Linked DNA regions of Lytechinus pictus. The protein of the gene in region 1 purifies or fractionates together with the protein of each later gene. This does not show direct contact. Links are inferred from orthologs where the notes say so. Each region holds a gene or a part of one and is shown on either strand. Other genes may lie near its edges.

What was found.
Region 2: the proteins of DNA polymerase epsilon subunit 3-like (region 1) and cysteine-rich protein 2-binding protein-like purify together in Drosophila melanogaster (affinity purification with mass spectrometry; 4 studies listed by BioGRID). This does not show direct contact. The link is inferred for Lytechinus pictus from reciprocal best matches to the Drosophila melanogaster genes Chrac-14 and Atac2.

The regions. Positions count from the first base shown.
Region 1 is NC_087259.1:11,821,762-11,828,795, forward strand, and holds the start of DNA polymerase epsilon subunit 3-like, read left to right. Parts: upstream 1-3,943; 5' UTR 3,944-4,020; intron 4,021-7,034. UniProt on the Drosophila melanogaster protein: Accessory component of the DNA polymerase epsilon complex. Participates in DNA repair and in chromosomal DNA replication. Histone-like protein which promotes nucleosome sliding of ATP-dependent nucleosome remodeling complexes.
Region 2 is NC_087247.1:43,280,794-43,288,855, forward strand, and holds the start of cysteine-rich protein 2-binding protein-like, read left to right. Parts: upstream 1-4,979; 5' UTR 4,980-5,339; coding exon 5,340-5,372; intron 5,373-7,198; coding exon 7,199-7,490; intron 7,491-7,680; coding exon 7,681-7,795; intron 7,796-8,062.

The DNA of each region.
Region 1 (7,034 bases):
CAGCACTGAATGCAGTTAGAGAAGAAAAGGATTTAGGGATCATCATTGACGACGATCTAAAATTCCACAAGCAAGTGTCAAATGCTGTCAATAAGGCAAACGGGGTACTAATCAGCATCAGACGTACTTTCCAGTGTCTTGATTCGACCACTATCCCCAAACTATTTAAAGGGTTAGTGCGGCCACTCCTGGAATATGGAAATGTCATCTGGTCACCACAGTACATTGCTGATGCTAAGGCTGTCGAGAGAGTTCAGAAGAGAGCAACCAAAGTAATCTCCAGGATCAAACATCTTCCATACAAGGAAAGGCTTAAACACCTGAACTTACCATCCTTGGAGTACAGAAGAAAGAGAGGTGACATGATTCAAGTGTATAAGATCACTCATGAAGTCGACAGGCTTAACCCAGACCACTTTTTTCAGCTAGCTGACAGTACTACAAGAGGTCATAGGTTCAAACTTGTAAAGCCAAGATGCAGAACAAATGTGAGAAAGCAAGCTTTTAGTCACCGAGTAGTCAATGATTGGAACTCTCTCCCAGCTGAGGTAGTTGAAGCTCCCACAGTAGACACCTTCAAAATCAGGCTAGACCGACACTGGAAAGATAAGCATTATGATTCCCACTACTCTTAACTGGATATGAGAAGTCAATTTTCACCAACTTGCCCCACTGCCTCCTTAAACTTATTGAAACTTATTGAAGCATGAAGGAAGCTGACAAAATTAGAAGATAGACCTGGAAGCTCGACTGCTAATTCAGCATTCTTCCAGTATTTGCGGTAAGGTAAGGTAAGGTAAGTCACTGGTTTTTTTTTCCTTTTAAGTTTATTTTTCCCTGTTTTGGTGCATTTCAGGCCAAAACGGAATAATAATCTTTATTTTGGTCCAGTTCTTTTTATATATTTTCATGAAATAAAGACAGAAATCGATGAGCCCCATCGGGGGGACTTTGCACTGTTAGCTCCCTAATGGCAGCTGCACGATCGCGAGCCATCACAGTGTACATACAAAGAGAAATAAAAAATTTAAAAAAATGTTTAGGCCTAGGCGGTAGGCCTACTTTAAATTAAAAAAAACTCGAAACAGACGGCTGCCAGCTATCTTGTCTAGGCAGAAGGCACGGCACAGAATGCCAGAAATATTCCCTGCATTATTTTCAGCCATCATTACATCACGTTAGTCACACTCAAACACTGACAAATGAAACAAATCAAGACAAGACACACTTGTGACAGGCAGTGGAACTGCAGTGCAGTGGAAGTGCTAGTGCCAGTGGTTGCACTTGCAATGAACTAACCCAGAGAGCTCCCGCCCGCGCAGCGGGCGGGAGCCCAGAAGCTTACCGTGTATTTTACCATTGTCACCGGACTAGGGTTATTTATGGTCTAAATATTTCTCCAAATGAATTGTGAAAACGGAAAGTATATATGGATGAAGGTCTAACGAGTGGCAGATTCCTGACATCTGGGCACAGTCTGGAACCTCAAAAAAACGAAAAGTTCTCTCCTTCTACCCAGTCTCGATCGGCCATTTTGTTACAATTTTTAACAAAAATGGCCGATCGAGACGGGGTAGAAGGAGAGAACTTTTCGTTTTTTTGAGGTTCCAGACTGTGCCCAGATGTCAGGAATCTGCCACTCGTTAGACCTTCATCCATATAATCGTGGTAATTCTATACTTTCTGTTTTCACAATTCATTTGGAGAAATATTTAGACCATAAATCACCCTAGTCCGGTGACAATGGTAAAATACACGGTAAGCTTCTGGGCTCCCGCCCGCGCAGCGGGCGGGAGCTCTCTGGGTTAGCAATGAACATGCAGTGCCAGAGTCGCCGATCGACCAGGGCCCGGGTCGCCGGCCGTGCGTACGGTTGCCTGGCTTCGCTTCAGCTAAATAGTAAATGATCGGGGATCAGTCGACTCGAGTCGATCGACTCCGAGTACGATAGCTAATCAGTACAGACTGTGAATGAAATCAAATGACTAATTTTCTATGTCATGAATTTAATGAAATGTGGTAAATACCCACCTTTCACTCAAATGAGAAACATTCTGCAGAATTAAATGCTTGTTTTCATAAAATAAAGTTTCCAACTCGATCTACGTCTGTCGTCTTCGGCCTCCGACTAACTGGTATTGGTAACGTAGATGGCGTATTCCTCTGTACAAGATGTGGCGCAGATATTGTTTAGAACTTAACTATGCAATGAATTGATTGATTGATTGGTTTATTTTATTTGGCAAGTCACCAGAACATAAAACAACAGGCTTGCACAGGATGACCCACGAAAGCTCGAAAGCTTAATTATTTCCAAAAGAAAAATCTAAAAGAGGACTAGTATGGCTAACATGACTCCGATGCATATTAAACAATAAAAATCAAAAAGGAGCAAAAAATGGAATACAAAACTTTTGACTTCAAAATGTATTTGTAGATCGTACGTGGCTGCATGTATGCATGCAGGCGCGGATCCATTATATCCCCCAAAAAACAAAAAATAATAATGATAATACAATGAAATAATATAATTATATGGGCAAGAGAAAGGGAAAGAGGTTAAAAAGAGAAGGAAAATGAAAAAGAATGAATAAAGAAAAAGTGTGAGATTAAAGAAGGTATTAAGGGAAAATGCTAATAAAGAAAAGGACAACAGTTTCATTAAAGAAAGAAAAATAATTAATCGAAAGCGAAATGGAAAAGGGAAGAAAAGAAAAAGAAGGGAGATGGAGGATGGAAAAAAAAAAATGAAAGGAATGAATTTCAAGAGAGGGTGGAGAAAAGACAAGAAGCCTATAGGAAAAGGAAGAGGGTGAAGAAAAGGGGAAAGGCGGTCAAAGGAGAAGCAAATTAAAAGAATGGAAACGGTATTTACATGGTTGAAAGGGGAAAAAAGGTAAAAAGGGGAATAAAATTTGAGAGAGCCCCTACCCCCTTGATGATTTCCATCAAATATATGGAAGATAAAAAGAAGGGAAAAAAGAAAATGAAGTAAAATTAAGCTCCACCGAGGGGTGCGAAAATTGCCCTATATGGCTCCCGAGATGCCCCTGCATGCCTGCCATCTTCTCACGGACAATGACAAAAGGAACAAGGAAAATAAGTGCATGGAAGGGAAATTAAAGGAAACTTTAAAAAAAAATGTTAAAGGTCAAGTCCACCCCAGAAAAATGTTGATGTGAATAAATAGAGAAAAACCAAACTAGCATAACGCTGAAAATTTCATCAAAATCGGATGAAAAATAAAAAATTATTTATGACATTTTTAAAGTTTTGCTTATTTTTCACAAAACAGTGATATATGCACAACTAGGTGAGTCAGTCGTTGATGTCCATCACTCACTTTTGTTTTTTATTGTTTGAATTAGGCCTATACAATATTTCATTATTTATCTATATGACAATAAGGACCAAAGGGGGACCAATTTGACTGAACCATGTCATTAAACAATGCTAATTCTACATGTTCAGGGAGGAATCAATCGTTGTATCACTTGACAATGAGGAGAAAATTAGAATATATATAATAAAATACAAAAGAAATAGTGAGTGGATGACGTCATAGTCTCCTCATTTGCATACCAGCCAGGATGTGCATATAACTATTTCGTGAAATTAAGCGAAACTTTAAAATGTCATAACTTTCTTATTTTACACCCGATTTTGATGAAATTTTCAGTGTTATGCTTGTTGGATTTTTCTCTTTTATTCAAATCAACTTTTTTGTTAGGGTGGACTTGTCCTTTTTTAATTGTGCCAAGTGTGGATATTAATTAGACCAACTGGTTATGAGACGAAATGGTTATTAGACGAAGTGATGATTGGACCAAATGGTTATTAATGGACCAAATAGTTTTTAGACGAAATGTTGATTGACGGAATGACATTTGGTGAGTGGACGAGTTGGCAGCGAGTATGCGAATTGGCAATTTACCATGCATTGAGATCACGCACGCACCATCATGACGTCATCTTCGCGGGAATCTCTGAAAATAGGTCACTGGCAAATTTTTAAGATCGGTAAGAAAGACCTGTGAACTTGAAGATTTGTGATTTTATACATTGATTTCGATTCTTTGATAGTTGATCCATTGAGAAATGATTCATTCTATATATGTGTGAATGATAAACTCTTTGATTTGAGCTTAAACTAAATTTTTATTGCTTACTAGTGCGTTGTTTGGAAGATGAAAAGAATTTACTGACAGTGATTGCTGTGAATGGGACTGTAGTGTAGATGTTCGAGTAGCTTATTACAAAAATACACACTCGTCTAACGTTAGCTCTGTACTGTAGACTGTAACAAGTGTAACCGTAAGTTGTATGATGGGGGGACCTAAACTAAAGCTACGGCTACGCGCGCACTTTGTTTTCAAACGATAAAAACTATGCCAATTTTAATATTTTAACCATTTGTCTTTCACTAATTTGTAATTAATATTCTCTTAACCAAGAAGAAAATATCACAGAACTCACTAAATTAGTATTTAGACTTTAGTAATGAGCATGATCGGTTAAGCCTTAGTTAAAGGAGAATGAAACTCTTGGAGCAAGTTAGCTTTTGTGAAAGCAGAAAAATCAAAGAATAAGATCAACAAAACTTTGAGTAAAATAGGACTAGCAATAAAAGAGTTATGAGCATTTGAATGTCGAGATCACTAATGCTATGGAGATCCTCTCATTGGCAATGCGACCAAGATCTGTGATGTCACACACGTAGAACTCTCCCATTTGGACACTGAAAATATACCCCAAAACATCTCTTTTTGCTCATTCTAATCATATGACAAACGATTCATCAATGATATAATGTTGTGAAACCTCTGTACTTGTCATCTCATAAAGAGAACACCTCACCTTGTGATAGACTCTATAAAAGTGAGAATATAAGTGAAATAAGTACTAAAGTATTGAGGGAGTTGTACGTGTGTGATATCACAGATCTTGGTCGCATTGCCGATGGGAGGATCTACATGGCACTAGTGATCTCAATATTCAAATGCTCATAACTTTCTTATTATTCATTCAATCTTCCTCAAACTTTCAACAATATGTTTCTTTGATTTTTCTCTTTGATATGGATTCAGATGGTTTCAAGGGTTTCATTCTCCTTTAAGGGTTTTTTTTTTTTTTCTATCAAAATTGCTTTTAAGATATTCTTTGATATCTCAGGTTTCAAAGAACTCGGTTTCATGAAGATTGATGAATCCGAAAGTACTGGAATAGTCCATTTTATTCGTGGGGGTGCTATTACCTCTCATCACGGACGGACATTTTTACTCAAATCAAATTCTCTCTAGTTTTATGGTTTTTAAAGTTATTCTAATTTGGTTTGGATGTTCTTGCACTCTAAACATTAATCTATAGTATTATCAAACAAAAATTAGTAGAAAAAAAATATTGGGAAGTAATTTTTTTTGGTAGGTGTGAACATTTCCATTATTGGTCAAAGTTAAGCTATTTAGATAGAAACAATAAAAATGTTCAAAAATTCTGAAAACCACATTTCTATCATGTCCGTCCGTGATATGGCACATTTAGTGGCTACCTATGTTTGTAGGTAACCATGGCAACAAACTTTTTTCATCATTCAGCATACTTTGTCCTAAGTAACCCTTCACTATAAAACAAAAAGGAACCATGTTCATCTTATTCCCAATTTGTTACAAGCCTTCAAAGTTTTCAAAATCTATCAAATGTCCGTCCGTGATGAACCGATCACGCTCTAATACGAAAAACCCGCCGTGTTTTCCGAACACCTCTTGTCTTGATTTCGTCGCCGATGTAGAAGGGGTCCTAAAGTAAGCTACGCACTCGATTTATCATGCAAAGAAATAGTATTTCCTGTGCCTTAATTTCTAAAATATGTTCGTATTATTATAGGGAAATATGAAATTAAAGTGAACATAAATAAAAAATTCCAAACATTTGCTGGTTTTCTCTGCATTCAAGAATTTATTGCAGCCTCTGTAAAAAAATTGAATAGGATCGTTCGTCACTCTGCAGTCACAGCTTCACACACAGAGCTCGAGTGCGCATTTATTTTCCCATTGAAATTGCATGCGCGATGGAGTGGTGCGTAGCTTTAGGACCCGCGCAGCTTTAGGAACCCCTACCATAACTCGGTACGTGCACTAGCTAACCCAGGGCCAGGACTCGTCCGTGTAATAGTAATACTAGTCAAACATTAGACGGCTGGCAGCCGTCTGTTTCGAGGAGTTTTTTAACATTATTATTATTTTTTGAATTTCTCGTACACAGACGGCTCGCTATCGTGCATGTGCAGCCAATAGGGGGTTAACAATGCAAAATTCCCATGTCGGGGCACATATTTGTCTTATTTCATAAAGATATATATAAAAAGAAAAACTAGATTTTAATTCGTCATGCGGACGAATTAGGTGGTCTGTCGTATAGAAAGATAAACAGGAAAAAAAATATTTAAACAGATATTAGATTGAAAAATAGATAGACAAACAGATTTACATATTCAAACAGATACATATAAGAAAGATAATAATATATATAGATGGATGGAGTGATGGATGGAGAGATAAATGATAGGTGGTTATATTAATAAAACATAGACATATAGATAGATAGAGAGACAGACATATAGATAGACAGACATATAGATAGAGAGACAGACATATAGATAGATAGAGAGACAGGCATATAGATAGATAGATAGAGAGACGATAGGTGGTTATACTAATAAAACATAGATAGACATATAGATAGAAAGAGAGACAGACAGACAGATAGATAGATAGATAGAGACAGACATATATATAGATAGAGAGACAGACATATAGAGAGATATAGAGACAGACATAGATAGATAGAGAGACGGACATATATATAGATAGAGAGACAGACATATAGATAGACAGAGAGACAGAAATATAGATAGATAGAGAGACAGACAGATAGATAGATAGACATATAGATAGATACAGAGACAGACATATAGATTGATAGAGAGACAGACATATAGATAGAGAGACAGACATATAGATAAATAGAGACAGACA
Region 2 (8,062 bases), on another chromosome or scaffold:
TTTAGCTTTTGACTAATTCCATTCTACCTTCATTTCCCGCTATTGTTTGCCATTTTGTCATCTTTTAATTTATTTCCCATCATGCTATTGCACTACATAGTCCTATTTCGGAATGATTTGTTCTTTCTCAAATGTTCTTCTTTCGTTCTTCTTCCCGCTTTCTTTCCTTTTCCATTTCAAAAGATATATATTTTCTTTGTTTTAAATTATTTTCACTTTTCCCATTCCTTTTCCTCCTTTCCTTTCCCTCTTTCCTTCCCCTTTCTCTTTCTTTCTACCTCCCTTTTATGTTTTCCCCGTTTTTTTTTATTTTCCCGGTGAAATCCGCCAGGGGGGCAGCTTGCCCCCCCCCCCCCGCCTGTTACGCCACTGTTTAAAGAATGTGTTTAGAATCAATTTTTATTAACGTTTTGGGAAAACAACCCCCCCTTTTCAAGATTATTTAGCTTAAATATTTTGAAAATATATTTTCATAACTTCTACAACCTTTAATGCTATCATCATTACGTTTTACCAATGTTTTAACTTGGTATTTTTCATCTCCAGTGTATTTATCGTAATTTTAGTAAAACATTTTGTTTCTGAAAATATGTGGGGGTATGATATGTCATAAAAACGTCAAAATAAGGACGTTTGTTGTACATTTCATTAACACTTTGTGAAAACATTTCAAAAATGTTTAGCTATTTTTTCAATAACATATTTTCATAATTTTTCGATGTTATTGTGACACCCAATGCATAGCGTTTTAAAGATATTAGAAAATAGTTGTTTCTAGAAAAATGTTTAAATGATATTTTAAAACATTATGTATAACATTATAAGAATGATGTTAGTAAAATGTATTTTTTCTGAAATAATGTTATATCATAAAAGCGTATATATTAAAGAATATTTATCCTTCTTTTTTAGTGTTTCATAACATTTCAAGAACGTTTTATGTTATTGCTGTAATATTATAACAACCTTTAAAAATATTTTTAGAGCCCATGTTTAACTTTATAAACATGATAGTAAAGTTTAAAAACAGTTGTATTCTAAAGACTCTAAAATAAGGATACATTTTGAAATATTTTTGGCATTTTTTTCAAAAATGTTTTGCTGAACTGTTATAAAAACATATTTTCATTACGTTTCTATTCAGGTTGATGTTATTGTCAGAATATTCTCACAATACTTAATTTTCATTTTTCTTCAAAATGGTTATAGTAAAATGTATTGTTAAGTTTTTGGAAAAAAATGTAAAAATCATAACATAATAACATTAAAAAATATTAAGAAAACATTTTTCAAAAACGTTTAGTTAAAATATAGAATTAACATAGTTTTCATAACCTTACAAGAACGTTTATGTTATTGCTAAAATGGTTATAACGTTTAATGAAATAATGTTTAACATAAGGGGAATAATTAATAACGTTTAATGAAATAATGTTTAACATAAGGGGAATAATTTGTTTCATTAATGCTATGCAAATGTTCTCAAGAAATGTTTTTTGAAAGCATTTCTAAGATCTTTCAAAAATGTTATTATAACGTTGTGTTAGCTGGGATTATAGAGATATACAGTGCGTATCAAAAAAAAGTTTACACTTTGAAAAAGCCCTGGGAATTAAAAAATATACAACATGTGGGTAATTTTTTCACATATAATCTTTGGTTTGGGTCTCTTCTATCCAATGAAAGTAAAAGTTTTGACAGAATGTTACACTTGAGTGAGCACTGTCCATTTTTGTAAAGCTCGCAGAAATCTGTTTGCGCAGAAATGCTCGTTTGTACGCTGTGTCGAGGGGAAAGGGCGAAATCAAACTTACCCTGCGAAACATTTCTCATACATTTCCCTTGCACTTTTAGTAAATTGAAATAAAACGGATACATTTCAGCATTTTCTAATAATTTTGCCACCCAAATTGAAATTTCAACACAACCTTTACCTTTTTTGTGCCAGCTGCATGGATCTGAGGACCAGTGGCGTAGCTACGGGGGGGCCTGGGGGGGCACGTGCCCCCCCCCCTGAGATTTGGTGTGCCCCCCCAAGTGCCCCCCCCCTGAAAAAAATTGGCAGAGCAAAAAAAAAAGGAGAAAGAAGAAAAAACAGGAAAAGAAGAAGAAAGACAGAAGAAAAAAAAGAAGAGGAAAATAAGAGGAGGAAGACGAGTGAATGAAATAATGTGAAGGGAAGACTTGCAAAAAAAAAACAAATCTTTCATGTTACTATATAAAACTTTTGCTTGCGCTTTTTTGCGCCAGAATTGCCTGTTCGATGAAATTCATATCTTGCTCAATAGGCTGATATGGAGCAAGTTTTGAAGTCAAAATACAAAATATATTTTAGCTCGGACATCGAGCTCTCATCAATTTTTTTTCATTAACAAATTTAAGTGTTCTAGCTGTAAAACGTCCCTTTTATAGTCTACATATCAGCATTTTTAAGCTCACGCTGCGTGGTCAAATTGTTTGATTTGCCAAGTTCCTATTGTCTACGTGTATTTCATAATGTTCCATTAAACAAATGTATTCAGACTGCCCAGATTCTAGGTCTAAATCGAAAACATGCGCGATAGCCTGCATGTTCTTTATATTAAATGTACTTAAATTATCCAGTTTCACATCAGAATATCAATAATTGTCTGCTCACGCTTCACGGTCGCATTATTAATGATACCCAATTAACTATATCCTATTTATGATTTACAAAATATGAATAGCCGCTTTTAGGTCTAAAATCTCAATTTTCTTCCTCTCGCGCTTCGCGCTCGCATCAATTGTTTAGTTACATACCTATCCCATTTATTAATACAAAAAGTGCTTAGAATGACAATTTTTTAGGTCGGAATGTCAAAAAATATTTGCTCGCGCTTCGCGCTCGCATTATTGAAATATATACCGTCTTCGTGGGTAACTGTAAGCAGTCCTTAACAGGTCCCTTTTCGATAATGCTAGAACAGTTAATAAAAAGTTCTGCTCGCGCTTGGCCTTCGCAGTAACCATCTAGTTACATACGAATCTTGTTCAGGATCACACATAACATTGCACAGAATATTACATTTTCAGGACAAAATACATGAAAGTAAAAAAAAAAAAATCGCTCGCGCTTCGCGCTCGCACTTTTTATAAGGCTTATGAGATTATTTCATGTTTATGTTGTTCTATAAGAATAAATCTAAGAAGTGACTGATCGGGGGAAATATAGGTGAAGATAATTTCGGGCCCCGTCCCCTATTGGCGAAAGTCGGATCCGCCCTTGTGACACATACACACACAACGGAAAAAATGGTGCCCCCCCTGAAAAAGCAAGGACCCCCCAGTGCCCCCCCCAGGAAAAAAATCCTAGCTACGCCACTGCTGAGGACATAACTGAATCTGAACAAAAGTTTATATCAGACAGTTTTTATCATTTAAAGTGGGTTTACATTTCATTTTTCATTTAATACTTGTTTGTCCACACTTTTCCCAAGCTTGACAATGATTAACAAAATGAAAATCAAGCCTAAGCCATTTTATGTAAATCACAGCTCAGTGTAAAGCAAATTCGTCACGATGGCCTCGGTGTGTGGGGGAGTGGGGTGGGGTGCAATGCACTCCTCGAAGTGGTTTGGGCAAGGAAACAAGTTAAAAAAGGTAAAAGATATCTTCAAATCAATTTTACTAGCTAAATTCCACGTGTTCTTCATGATTAAGGTCAACTTTTATTCGCATATATACCTATTTCAAAGTTCTGCGCAAATCATTTTTCACTAACTTTTCAAAAGTAAGTGGTGCTCACTCAAGCGGAAATATTTTTCGACAGTTATATCATCATTTGCTTAAATGGGGTTAAATGGATCTGTACCAATGTTAAAATGTGGAAAAATCTTCAGGATATTACAAATGTGTAATTTTACAGGATTTTTTCGAAGTGTAAACTTTTTTTGATACGCACTGTATAACAACGCAAAATAGCTATCCGCTACTATCAGAAATGCAGCAATATTGCGTGTCATCAATTTGAGTTGAGAGAGAGCCTATTATACTTCGGCCCAGTGGCGTACCTAGGATTTTTCACAGGGGGGGGGGCAAAACCGTCCACCAAAAAATTTGACAAGCAAAAAAAAAAAAAAAAAAAAAAAAAAAAAAAAAGGTCTTTTCGATCACAAATTAAGGATTTCGTACCAGAAAAAAATTGACAAGCAAAAAAAAAAAAAAAAAAAAAAAAGGTCTTCAAGCTCGTCAGGGGGGCATTGAAGGTCTTAAAGCTCGCCGGGGGGGGGGGGCAAAAAAGGTTTTTCAAGCCCGTCAGGGGGGGCAAAGATACGTTTTTGCATGGGTTGTGACTCGTCAGGGGGGGCAGAGTGCCCCCCCTGCCCCCCCCCCCGTAGGTACGCTAGTGCTTCGGCCTATCTAAGTTCATGCCCGACGCATAAGCCCTTTTATATACTTGCTGGCAATAAATACACACTATACTCTAATAGTAGAGGCAGGGAAATCGGGGGGGGGGGGGGAGACTACCGGGTTAGCGCAAGGGCATCGGACGCGATTTCCCCGGCCCGGCCCGCTAAAAGGGAAGAAAATTTACATATGAAAGAGAGAGACGACGTCTCGTTTTGGTTTTGATTCTTCTCAGAAAAATATAAACCGGAAACCCACAAAGCTACCCTTTTCCCCTTTTCTTCTCTTTTCCTTTTTTTTATTTTATTTAAGCCCTTTTATATACTTGCTGGCAATAAATACACACTATACTCTAATAGTAGAGGCAGGGAAATCGGGGGGGGGGGGGGGGAGACTACCGGGTTAGCGCAAGGGCATCGGACGCGATTTCCCCGGCCCGGCCCGCTAAAAGGGAAGAAAATTTACATATGAAAGAGAGAGACGACGTCTCGTTTTGGTTTTGATTCTTCTCAGAAAAATATAAACCGGAAACCCACAAAGCTACCCTTTTCCCCTTTTCTTCTCTTTTCCTTTTTTTTATTTTGGGGCGCCTCCCCCCCCCCCCCTCCCCCCATACACCCCTGCATGCAGATATGCATTCAAGAGTCTTTTGTTAAAATTTAGGTCTTGCTGTCTGACATGTCCAACACGGGGTCCAACCACTAACAATAATAATATTGATGAAAATCTATACTAGCCAACATTTTTCTAAATCTTACTTGTATTAAACTTCCAATTTTATTTGGGATTTTTTTTTCTTATATAGGAATTACTAATTAGGATCTAACTTTACAGCTGGCCGAACGGCGGCAGCGCATACCGCGGCGGCGCGGGCGGGCAGCGCAGCGGTCCAATCTGCCACCAGTACAGTACAGTAGTTACCACTGATCTGACAGCTGACCGATCGACCTGAAATAAAATTTGAACAAGCGATGTCAGGTGTAACTTCAAGTGAAGCTGATCAGGTAGTAATGATATTCATGAAGTTGTTAGGAGTGGGGGCTACGGGTCAGGAAATCAAAATTTAAATGAATGTAGACTAGTCTGATCGTATTTTATCATGCTTATAATTTTCAACACCAAGCAACAGCCAACAGGAACATGAATTGCAATATGTGGGACTGGACTTGGCATTGACTCTTAGTCTTAAGTTGAGCCTGAGGACTCCATGATGATATTTTTTAATATTTTGACATAGATCTAAACTTCTTCATCATTCATGGAGCCCTGAACCGTCTCCCATATATGCATATATGCATAAGTGAGACCTGGATAGATTTCCCTACTGCCCTATATTTTAGCCTATAAATAATGCTATATTTTAATATAATACACTATACAGGGTGAAATCGGTTTATAATTAATAAGTGAATTTTATTGAAACCTTCAAACGCCTAAAATTTAGATTTTTTATGAAGGTATAAAAATTATTTCACTATGAATGGCAAAAATGAGAGGTTTCTTACCAGAATGATCTCGTGTAGATCCCTCAATCCATTTGCCAACAAAGCAAATACAATAGGTCTGACCCTTGAACCGCTTCGTTATGCCATACCTTCGATTAGCGATGTTCCAAAATGCTGTTTTGAAGAACAATTTATAGATAAAAATTATTATTTAACAAATACTAAAATTTATTACGTGATTATGAATTTTTTTTCTTTAATTCCCTTCTTTTTCTATCTTGGTTGTAGAACATTCGGGGGCCACTGGGCCTAACCCTTCCATCCTGTACCCCAGTGCTAAACTGCTATATCAGCAGGTGGGTCTCGATACCTCTGGATATTTAGCCATTTTAAACCTCATAGATGGCTGCTATTGTTAATCAAATTGTGAGTGTAGACCTAATTATAGAAGAACATTTCGTTAAGGTTTTTATTCTTTTGACAAAAAAAACCAAGAAGGAAAAACAAATCAGTTCTACACCCTCCCTTTTTTCATTTTCCTTTTTCTCTTTTCGCCCCCCTACTTTTTTTTTTGGGGGGGGGGGCACCACCCCCTGGCTAGTACGCGCCTGCCAGATGAAGAGGCGAGCGAGCAAAAATTTTGTCATTACAAATATAAATTTTTTGATAGATTTTGACATAACATTCGGGATGATTGTCGCAATGGTCATTTTGTCTCGCTTAAAATTTGACAAGTAAAAAAAAAGATTGTCACTCAAAATGAAAGCCATTTTGTCTGCGTAATATTTGGCAACCCCCCCCCCCAAAGGTTATTAAAAAAAAGGAAGGTCATTTTGTCCTGCGTGAAATTTTATTTGGCCAGCCCCCCCCCCCAACGGTTTTAACTAAAAATGATCGAAGGGCATTTTGTTTCTAGTAAAATTCGTCATATAAAAGTTAACTATATTCTTCATCATCAATCTCTTCTTCAAAATCATAAATTTTGAAATTTAAATCTAGATGAACTTCTGGGTTTCTTCCATTTCGTGATCGATGTTTTCAGTAACTTTGTGGAGAAAACATACCCTCCCTACAGGTTTTGGATGCAAGTGGAGCTTGATGTGGGATAACCAATCGTGTTTCGCACCAGCATACACGTCATTAAAAATCACCAATTTTGAGGCCGTTATTTACGTGTTCGAAGCACTCAGAGAGGGAACTTTAAAACTATCAATTAACTGAATTTCATCTGTCTCCATGATAAATGAGGGACACCACTATGTTCTTTGATTTTCTGCTTTGATTTGATATATAATTCTCCATTTTGGGGATTGGCAATATATTTCTACTTTATAAAGATTTCAAAATTGAAGTGAATAAACATATTTTCTATCATCCTTGTGCAGGGGGAAAATGATGAAATTGATGTGGTTTCCATGGATACGAAATCCCCAGGAGTTAATAGGGAGGAAGCTAAGTCACAGGATGAAGACATTATCATGGAGACAGTGGATGACCATGATGCAGAAGATGAAGAAGAAGAGTCCTCTAATGTGACCATCATCCACGAGGAGGAAGAAATGAGGGAAAATGTAGATGTAACAGAGGACGAGTCCTTGGGGGATCAGTGTTACTGTGAAGGCAAAGGGGATGGTCCGATGATCTCCTGTGAAAAATGCAAGAAGTCTTTTCATTTAGGTAGGTCAATGAGGAAGTTTTAAATTCTAATTGTTTGATTATTTGTATTTTCATGACACAGACATACTGAACAACATCTTCAATTTTATTTTATTATGGAAAGGAACACAATTTTGTGTCTGGCCTTTTGAAGAGCATAATACATAATACTGAGATTTATTTCTGTCATGTGTGTTATTGTTTTTCATAGCTTGCTTCAAAACTGGCAATCCTACAACTCTAGAAGGGGACATTTTCTTCAAACTGAATTGCAGTACATGTAAGGCGCCTGAAGATGAGACAGTGGAAAGAATGAGATTGACTTGGTAATTTTAATAAGAGTGCTAACAGGATAATAATATGATTTTCTAGTTTTATTGATGATATTTCATTTTCTTGAATTCCATATCTGATGCTAACATGAATACTGTACTTGCAATCTGAGATATAGGCCTAATGCGTGTACTTGTTATCAAGTGGAAATGAGACTAGATAAAGATCAAATCTAAAACAATCAACATGAAATTGAAACTATTCTGGTTTGTCTTCCTAATTTTTGTTCTAGTAGGTTTTGCTAATTATCTGATGTAGTC